Linked DNA regions of Nothobranchius furzeri. The protein of the gene in region 1 purifies or fractionates together with the protein of each later gene. This does not show direct contact. Links are inferred from orthologs where the notes say so. Each region holds a gene or a part of one and is shown in the gene's direction. Other genes may lie near its edges.

Region 1 (3,816 bases):
CCAACAGACTGCAAAACATCAGTTTCCAGTTCTCCTGCAGCACTGGAGCTGGAGCTGCAGGTGTTATGCAGAGAACAGTTACCCCGCCTGCCTGCTCCGTCACATGAACATGCATTGCTCAATACAGCTACATACTGAGGGAGTAAACAACTTGAAATAAGAGCAAGGCTGCAACTTTTAAGTATATTTACAATATAAACAAGTTTTTAATTGGTGCACTTACTTAAAAAATGAAAGTGAAACTTAAAGAACAATTTGGATGTTTCTTCTTATTTTAATGCATTCCTGATTTATTTCCCCCTTTTTTTCTTATTTTAATGCTTTGCTAAAAATGTATTTATTATTATTTTATTGCTTTTCTGAAACCGGGACTCGGTATCGGCAGATACTCAGAATCAAATGACTCTGAATCGGATCGGGAGTAAGAAAATGTGATCGGAACATCCCTAGTATCTATTTAGACCCTGTCACACGTCGCAGAGTATCCCACAAAACTAAGATGTTTATCTATTAGGTTAATCACCTGCTGATTGAAATCAGGTGTGTTGAAACAGGGAAAACACTAAAACAAATAGGATGGTGGCCCTCAAGGACCGGGATTGCCCACCCCTGGTCTACGGGTCGTCCATTTGAAAGTTGAGATCTATGGCACCAGAAACAATTCTTTCAAAATCTCCGACCAAAGTGGAGATTTGCAAATTCTCTGTTGTGTATGTAAGTAACTGGGATTTTTATTTTTGCTACGTTACTGCCTGCGAAAAAATGCTCTGATATCATATGTGTGACCTGTGTTCACGCCTTATTTTTTTTACAAGCTCAGCTACTGCTCTATGTAGCAAACCACAGGCCAAGGCCTGCATTATGGATGGTTGGTGCCCACCACCTAGTTATTCCAGGTCCAAGAAATGTTTTTCAGCAGTGACTCCATCGATTTGGGGAACCACTGCACTGGATCTTTTACTGAAAACGATGTGGTGTGACTCAAGTTTTATTCCTTAGATGGGCAGTGGAGGTTTTAGAGAAACTTGGCCATCATTCCTATATTTGTTTATCTTTGTGTGTCCTATGTACTTCCAGTATCGACCCAGTACACCCTTTGTGGGACCTCCACAGCAGTATTCTGTACAGCCTCCAGGCTCTGGCACCTTCTACCCTGGTCCCGGACCAGGGGAGTACCCTGCCCCATATCGTGAGTCTTTCCCAGAGAATCATGAATTCACACTAGCGCATCAGTCTGCTCACAGAAGAGCGATAATTCCTTATTTCACTAGAACATATTTTCTTCTGTTTTGTTCTTTTCTTTTCTGGGTAATGTATTCAGATGCCCTCAGGTACCACCCTCCAGTCTCTCCCTCTGTACCCGCTCCCGTCCCCACAGCTGGCTCGCCCTTTTACCCAGGACAGACACTGTTCCCCCCCTCGCCCCCCATCTTAGTGCCTACACAACATTCAGCCAAGCGTGAAAAGAAAACGGTGAGTGTCTCAAGTTTTTTTTTTTTTTTTTGTCTTTTCAATATTTGGCATGTTGCTGCCTTTAAAGACTGAGTTCTCCAAGAAACAGCTTTTTACTTGTTTTTGAAATGTGATCGGCCACTCTGAGTTCATGGGACGATGGTGGCGGGGGAGCTAGGTTCCTGTCTCGTAACTTGAAGGTAGTGGAATCGAGTCCCGCTCAATCTGTCACAGTCGTGTTCTTGGGCGAGACTCTTGACCCAGGTTAGCTGCTGGCGGTGGTCGGAGGGACTGGTGGTGCCAGTGTTCAGCAGCCTTGCCTCCCGTCAGTGCGCCTCAGAGCAGCTGTGGCTACAACGTAGCTCATCACCAGCGAGCGAATGAATGGATGTGTTATGAAGCACCTTGGGGGGTTGTACACGCCATTTACCATTACTCTGAGTTTAACATGCAGGTTAAACAGGAAATCGGTCTTCTACCCCATTTCCTGCATTAGCCGCTGATAGAAAACAGATGGGAAACGCTTGGATTGGAAAAGCCAGTCGATTCCATGTCTCATCGATAGTTAATGCTTATGATCTCACTCATCTTGCTCACGATGAGGAGAACTGTTGTTGATTTAGCATCCAGGAGAAATTAGAGCACATCTGTAGAAGCTAACCATTAGCATTAGCAACTCCACAACACAGCAGAACTCCTTCAGGCTTGTGTTATTTGTGGAGATAAAACATGAATGATGCAAAGCAAATGGAGTCATTGTTAGAATGGTTTTGCTTTTAGCCAGTTAGAGGCGAGATGTCTGAATATCAGGAAATAAAACTCCAGATTATACCGTCTTCTCCTAACCTCTCCTGTGGCTCACTTCTAGTTACTGAAACAGGAGCGCCAGAGCTTTTTTTCCCACAGTGATTGACTCAAAGGGGCATTCAATGACACGAGATCCCACTGCAAATGTATTGGAAAAAACGTGTGAACCTTGTTAATAATGTTCCTGTTGACATTTTCAGTTTGGGGAGAGTTCAGGTTTGATATTATCAGTAGTTAGAATAAACTTAAAAATCAAACAGTTAAAATGTCTTTTCTATTTGCTTTTTATATAATTTTAGATCCGTATTCGTGACCCAAATCGAGGTGGCAAGGATGTAACGGAGGAGATCTTGGCAGGGGGCTCAGGAAGCAGGAATTCAACGCCTCCTATCGGCCCCCCTTTCTCCACCCCGACCCCTCCACAGGTACAGCGCCTCTACTTTACACAGATGTGATGCACAGCACTGAAATAGGAGCAGTGTCTCGTGTTGCTTAATCACAGTGGGAGCTTTTTGCTCCAGTAGTCTCTTCACCACCTTGGGGGAGGCCAGCGGTGCGTGGCCTTTATGACTCCATAATTTATTAGCACATCCCAGAGTCACTGGAAAGTCCTGATGGCTCTCCGATTAGATTATGTTATGCCTTCTCCTGGATCTGAGATGAAAAACAGATTTTTAGATTAACATAACTAGAGTTTTTAATGGGCGGTGCCGTTACAGTTGTGTTTTTACCGGAGGTGATTTGTTTGTTCATTTATTTGTTTGTATGCCCGTGAGTTAGTTTGTTTATGACAAAAAATATTTTACATGTTACGCACAGAGAACGTCGCAGAGGTAACAATCAACAAAAGATCTCCATCAGCGCGCCTGAGCCTTTTCTCCCCTCCTCCGCCTCTCGCTGCCGACAGTGGGCGCACACGCGGCGCGCAGAGGAGGAGCTTGGAGAGCGTCTGTGACGCACTCCACATCGTCCACAGCAGCGTGGTGTTGAGTGGAAACCCTTCTGTCTTTCAGAAAGCCTGGAAGACTTCTGGTTATTTCATTTGGAGAAACATTTCATGATTTAAGTAGCGCTCGTCGTTATTCAGCTCCTGCATCGAGTGTGTCTGCGGAGCGCGGATCCATCCAGAACAACGTTTAAATATCCACGAGTCTGTCTGAGGCAACAGTCCAGAACCTCTTAACCTCTTCAACAAGCACCTCAAAGACATTTGATTACGCACAAGCTGCAGGTGACCAGTTCAGGGTTACGCGGCGCAGGAGGAACGTGCGTTTGGGCCGCAGCAGGTGAAATGTTCCTACTTTAAGTGATTTCGTTTAATTGCATTGTTAATGCTACCGGAGCACTCTGGTCAGCTTATGTGGACCACATATTAATTTAAATGAATGGAAATTCAACAAATTATTATTCATTGTTTTAAAAATGAAAGTGACGGGATAAATGGATCGTGCGGCCTCCTCAGCGATTCATTTAATTTCCTACTCATGAAACAAAGAAAGTCTTTAATATATAATATATAAAATACCCTAATGGTAGGCACCACGAGGAAACAGAGAC
Region 2 (4,613 bases), about 9.8 Mb from region 1:
CTGCGTCTCAGGGCAGCCAAACAAAGACCCAGAGTGAGGGGAGCCTCTACTTTGTCTTTTTACTGTGTTTTTATTCCTGTCAGTAAATGTGGTGAAATGCGTATTGCTTTGAACTAATGGTGTTGAAACGGACTACGTTTTCTGTTCTTTTGCAGTAAGTCTAAAAAATGTTTTAGGTTTTTTTAAGCCATTTTGGTGGGGACCACAGCAGCTACACAACAGGCACCATATGTCCACAACTGAGTTACGTGCTTTCTCTCTTTTTTTTTGTTCCAGTGTATATATATATAAAAATATATACACAAAATAAACATCATACTTGTGGATAGTTGTGTTTTTAGATTTGCATCCTGTTTTCCTCAGTTGATGCAACAGAGTTGTTTTCTATATCTTCTATGATGCATTATGGTTGCTAAAATAAAAAAAACATGTGGCAAACAAACTGTGTATTTAAAGCTTGAGTAGCTAGTCATCCATAAAGTCAGTGTGATGATAATAGGGATGCAACGATACCACTTTTTTCCAAACCGATACCAATACTTGGATCTGAGTACTCACAATACCGATTACCACTACCGATACTTCTACCACACAAAAAAATGCAATGATTTGGAATTCAGATTTTATTTTCTTCTCTGCTTTCAACAGGAGGACTGTGAGGTAGATAAAAAGTAAAATATATGAAAAGAAATCATCACAAAACCAAAATATTAGGTGAACAGAAATGACAAGTTACAGTGAAGCCATTTTCAAGCAACTGCATTGGTATCGGTTAACTTTTACCGATACTGGTATTGGTATCGTATCGGTGCATCCCTAGATGATCATTCATAATTTACATAAAAAAACATTTCATGACCCGAACAAGTGGAGTATATTCTTACAGAACCTTCCAGCAGGTCCGGCCATTCTGAGCCACTCTTGCTTTAGTGAACTAAAAATGATTCATCCTAAATGTGTTGATTTTGGACTCGACCGCAGCATTTACACTTGTGGTGAAACGTGATTTTAAACATCTATGGATTAACATATCTGAAGATTCAAGTGGCCTTTACTCTTTGACCAAAACAGACAGAATGAGAAAGTTTACAGATAACAGATGTAGGGAGCACGGACTATCGCCACTGAGGTCAGAGCTCAGCTGACCTGCACAGGTAGGACAAAACAACACATTACTGCTGTCAAAAAGAATTACTGTGACAATTTATTAGAACTGCAGAAATGTTTATAAGAAAATACATTTTTGTAATTGTTTTACAACATTTTGGGAGGGATAAAACACTTTGGTACAATACATTTGATGTACTAATTATGCACTGTAAAAAGAGTCCAACCTCACAATAACTTAGAAAATGAATAAACTCTGAATGTGCGGTGTAAGTTAATGTTCAACTGAAAATGATTCTCATTATTGACCCATTTTATCAGCCATTAAAGGTCAACATTTCGCATTTATTTTACTATTGCGGTTAACGTTTTGCCCTTTTTGGGCATTATTGTTCTTACAGTAAAGGTTTGAAGTCAGCTCTGAATCAAGTCCCCGCGTCCCGCTTCGCTCTCAGTAACAAACCATGATTTTTTATCTCTAATAGACTTTCGTTCTTGTCAATGTTTGTTTTTGATCGTTTAAACGAAAAAGATCCCTACCTCTTTCTGGTGGAAAGCAAAGTTCCGCCTAGTCCCGCCTTTTAAAAATACATGTAGGAGTGGACCAATCACGAACCTCGACAGGCGGGTCTACAGAAAAGTGACGGTGATGTTGTCCAATGAAAATGCGACGTTGTGAGTTCTTCATATATAAGAATTTTCTGCCCCGGATTCTTTCTTTGGAATAATGTCGGCTGAATATGATAACAGGTCAGTGAAATAACGAATTGTTCAAACAATATTATACTGTTTTATTTACGATATTTATTGCCGTTTGTGTTTTTTGTGTCGAATTGTGAGAATTGGTGACTAGGAACTCGCCCGTAATATAGACTTTGAGGCACCGCGAGTGGCTTATTAAAAGGACTAGCCTTGTTAGAGGCCTGTTCTCAGTGGTGATGCTAGAATCTCAGTCTTATTGATCGATACTGATATCACTTAGGTAAACCAGTTCAAAAGTTGATTTTGTAGGTTTAATCGCGTATTTGTATTCGCCAGAAGAGTGAACGTGTATTAAAGATGTCGGCCCTGAGAAAAAAGAAAAGGCTGCCGGTTCCGTGTAGCACGTGAGGGCTCCAGGCCTTCGCCGACTTGGTAGTTTAGGGTGTCTGCCGTCACTCCGTTACCAAAACCAGCGAAATGATGTTCCGTCTGTGATTTCTCGCGTACAACCGACCATTTGCAGCCTTCCCGTTAGCGTAGGCGTTAGATGTTCTGGCCTCGGTGATCGGTGCACATGGCGGCGCTAACTGGGAGGGTGGACATGCTAACGCGACTTTTCATTTTTCTGTCATTGCCGCCGCTGGAGCAACCCTAATCCGTTCCTCACGGTTTCCCTCGGCAAGGAAATTGTTGGTGATGGATTCTACTAGCTGTATCCTTGGGTAGAGACCCAGAGGCCCGCTTAGGACCAGCTAAGTTAGCAGGCCGTGGCTACAAGCTAACTCTGTCTCGCTGGACCGTTGCCATCCGGAACGTCATGTTCCGTTTTTGCTCGTTAAATACTTCATCTGACCGTAAACTCGAATGTTTTCCGGGCCACGGCCTGTTTCAGTGCCTTTGCTAGCTGGTCGGATCGACCATCTTGAATGCGGCCTACGATAAAAATGGCGGACTCCGTTGAAGGATCCAGTCTGGTCGCTTTACCGTTTAACGACTTCGGTCGGTTCTACAGACTACCGGGCTGGTTCCGATCGTTCTGGACCCGTTACCGGACCCGTCTGCTGACGGAACCCAGAGAAATGATGGATCCGTGATTTTAATGAATATTCATTGTTTGGTTTCAGAGACAATGGCCCCGAGGGCATGGAGCCCGATGGCATCATCGAGGTAAAAATTTCTACTAATTAAAGGTTTCTGACGTAGATGTGTTCCTGCTTTTTACATATTTGATGTTTCACATGTGCAGTAACTGCCTTGTATGATTAGGAGAGATTAAGCTTTTCCATCTGGACTGAGTTTAAAATGAACAGGATCCTTTTGATTCTAAGGCCTTGTTGCTGATTCTGTCTTGGTCTCATCCGATCAGCATTTGTAGGAAATATTGACGTCACTCTGCCTTGTTTCTGTCTCCCAGAGCAACTGGAACCAGATCGTGGACAGTTTTGATGAGATGAACTTGCGTGAAACTCTGCTCAGGGGAATCTATGCTTATGGTTTTGAGAAGCCATCTGCTATCCAGCAAAGAGCTATTCTCCCTTGTATCAAGGGTAGGTAAGAGGACTGGCCTCAGGGTGCACTTTAGTGTTTTCCTTAGATTAACTAAAATCTCAGCAGCTTTGTTTTGTCTTGTGTGGTTGACTGGTTACACAACATCATCGTACCGATGACTCATCAGCCCTGATGTGGCTAATGTTGCACCTTTAGGACAAGCCCGTATCAGCCAGCTGGAGTGGAGTTGGTGATGATGATCTGGATTAGTTTAGTTGAAAACCCTTTCCGTCTCTCTGGTCTCCAGGTTACGATGTGATTGCTCAGGCCCAGTCTGGCACTGGGAAGACTGCCACATTTGCCATTTCCATCCTCCAGCAGATCGACATAGAGCTGAAAGGCACCCAGGCTCTGGTTCTGGCTCCCACCAGGGAGTTGGCTCAGCAGGTAAGGACCCAGTCACACCAGTTAGGGTGTTGGCTATTGATTTCTCAACAGGCCTGTGACTGAACTGACCCAAGGGACTTAAAACTGGCTCGCCCAGCATGAGCAAGAGCTCCTCATCGCTCTTCCCTCCGCCCACCCACTAGACCTACTTGGGTTGAAATTGAGTTAAATGCCAAAATACAAAATTGTGATTTTAAAAATGTAAAAAAGGGGAGGGGGGGGGTGGAAAACGATCAGTGGCTCCTGGGAAAGGCGGGATAGGTTGAGCAAAATAAGGACAGTGTTGACGAAGGTCGCGTGAAAGCCAGCTTAAATGAGTGGATGACCATGTTGTGAAGCACCTTGGGGGGGGGGTTGTAGGCCCTTTACTACTAGGTGGGGACAGACTGGGTGACTAGTGAGTTTAGTGCATTGCTGCCACATCTTCCTCACCTTAAGTCTGACGTTGGTTTAGGGTTGTGGTTCCTCACAAACCACCTGGCTTGTGTTTGCAGATCCAGAAGGTGGTTCTGGCTCTTGGCGACTACATGGGGGCCAGTTGCTACGCCTGCATTGGGGGCACCAGCATCCGCAGTGAAGTCCAGAAGTTGCAGGCGGAAGCTCCTCACATCGTGGTGGGAACCCCGGGCCGTGTCTTTGACATGATAACACGTAAAAACATCTGTGAGTACTTTATCCGTCTCTGGGAATGACACACTTCTGGTAGATGGACTTGTATTGGACCAGGCCTAGAAGGTACCAAATGGTCGGGTTCTTTGGGTTAGTGGGTTGTTTCTTTTAACAGATCACTTCCTGAACCCAGGAAGTGCAGTATGATGATGAAATCCATGCGTGTCAACTGACTCTTGAGTCGTCCTGGTGTGGTGATG

The links.
Region 2: the proteins of eif4g3a (region 1) and eif4a1b purify together in Homo sapiens (co-immunoprecipitation; 6 studies listed by BioGRID and IntAct, counting the BioPlex papers as one, with this or other methods). This does not show direct contact. The link is inferred for Nothobranchius furzeri from reciprocal best matches to the Homo sapiens genes EIF4G3 and EIF4A1.

What each region holds. Positions count from the first base shown.
Region 1 is NC_091743.1:76,832,834-76,836,649, forward strand, and holds part of eif4g3a (eukaryotic translation initiation factor 4 gamma 3), read left to right. Parts: intron 1-1,077; coding exon 1,078-1,189; intron 1,190-1,321; coding exon 1,322-1,473; intron 1,474-2,558; coding exon 2,559-2,684; intron 2,685-3,816. UniProt on the Homo sapiens protein: Component of the protein complex eIF4F, which is involved in the recognition of the mRNA cap, ATP-dependent unwinding of 5'-terminal secondary structure and recruitment of mRNA to the ribosome. Functional homolog of EIF4G1.
Region 2 is NC_091743.1:86,638,226-86,642,838, forward strand, and holds the start of eif4a1b (eukaryotic translation initiation factor 4A1B), read left to right. Parts: upstream 1-1,749; 5' UTR 1,750-1,834; coding exon 1,835-1,857; intron 1,858-2,933; coding exon 2,934-2,976; intron 2,977-3,223; coding exon 3,224-3,356; intron 3,357-3,604; coding exon 3,605-3,744; intron 3,745-4,238; coding exon 4,239-4,407; intron 4,408-4,554; exon of another isoform or gene 4,555-4,613. UniProt on the Homo sapiens protein: ATP-dependent RNA helicase which is a subunit of the eIF4F complex involved in cap recognition and is required for mRNA binding to ribosome.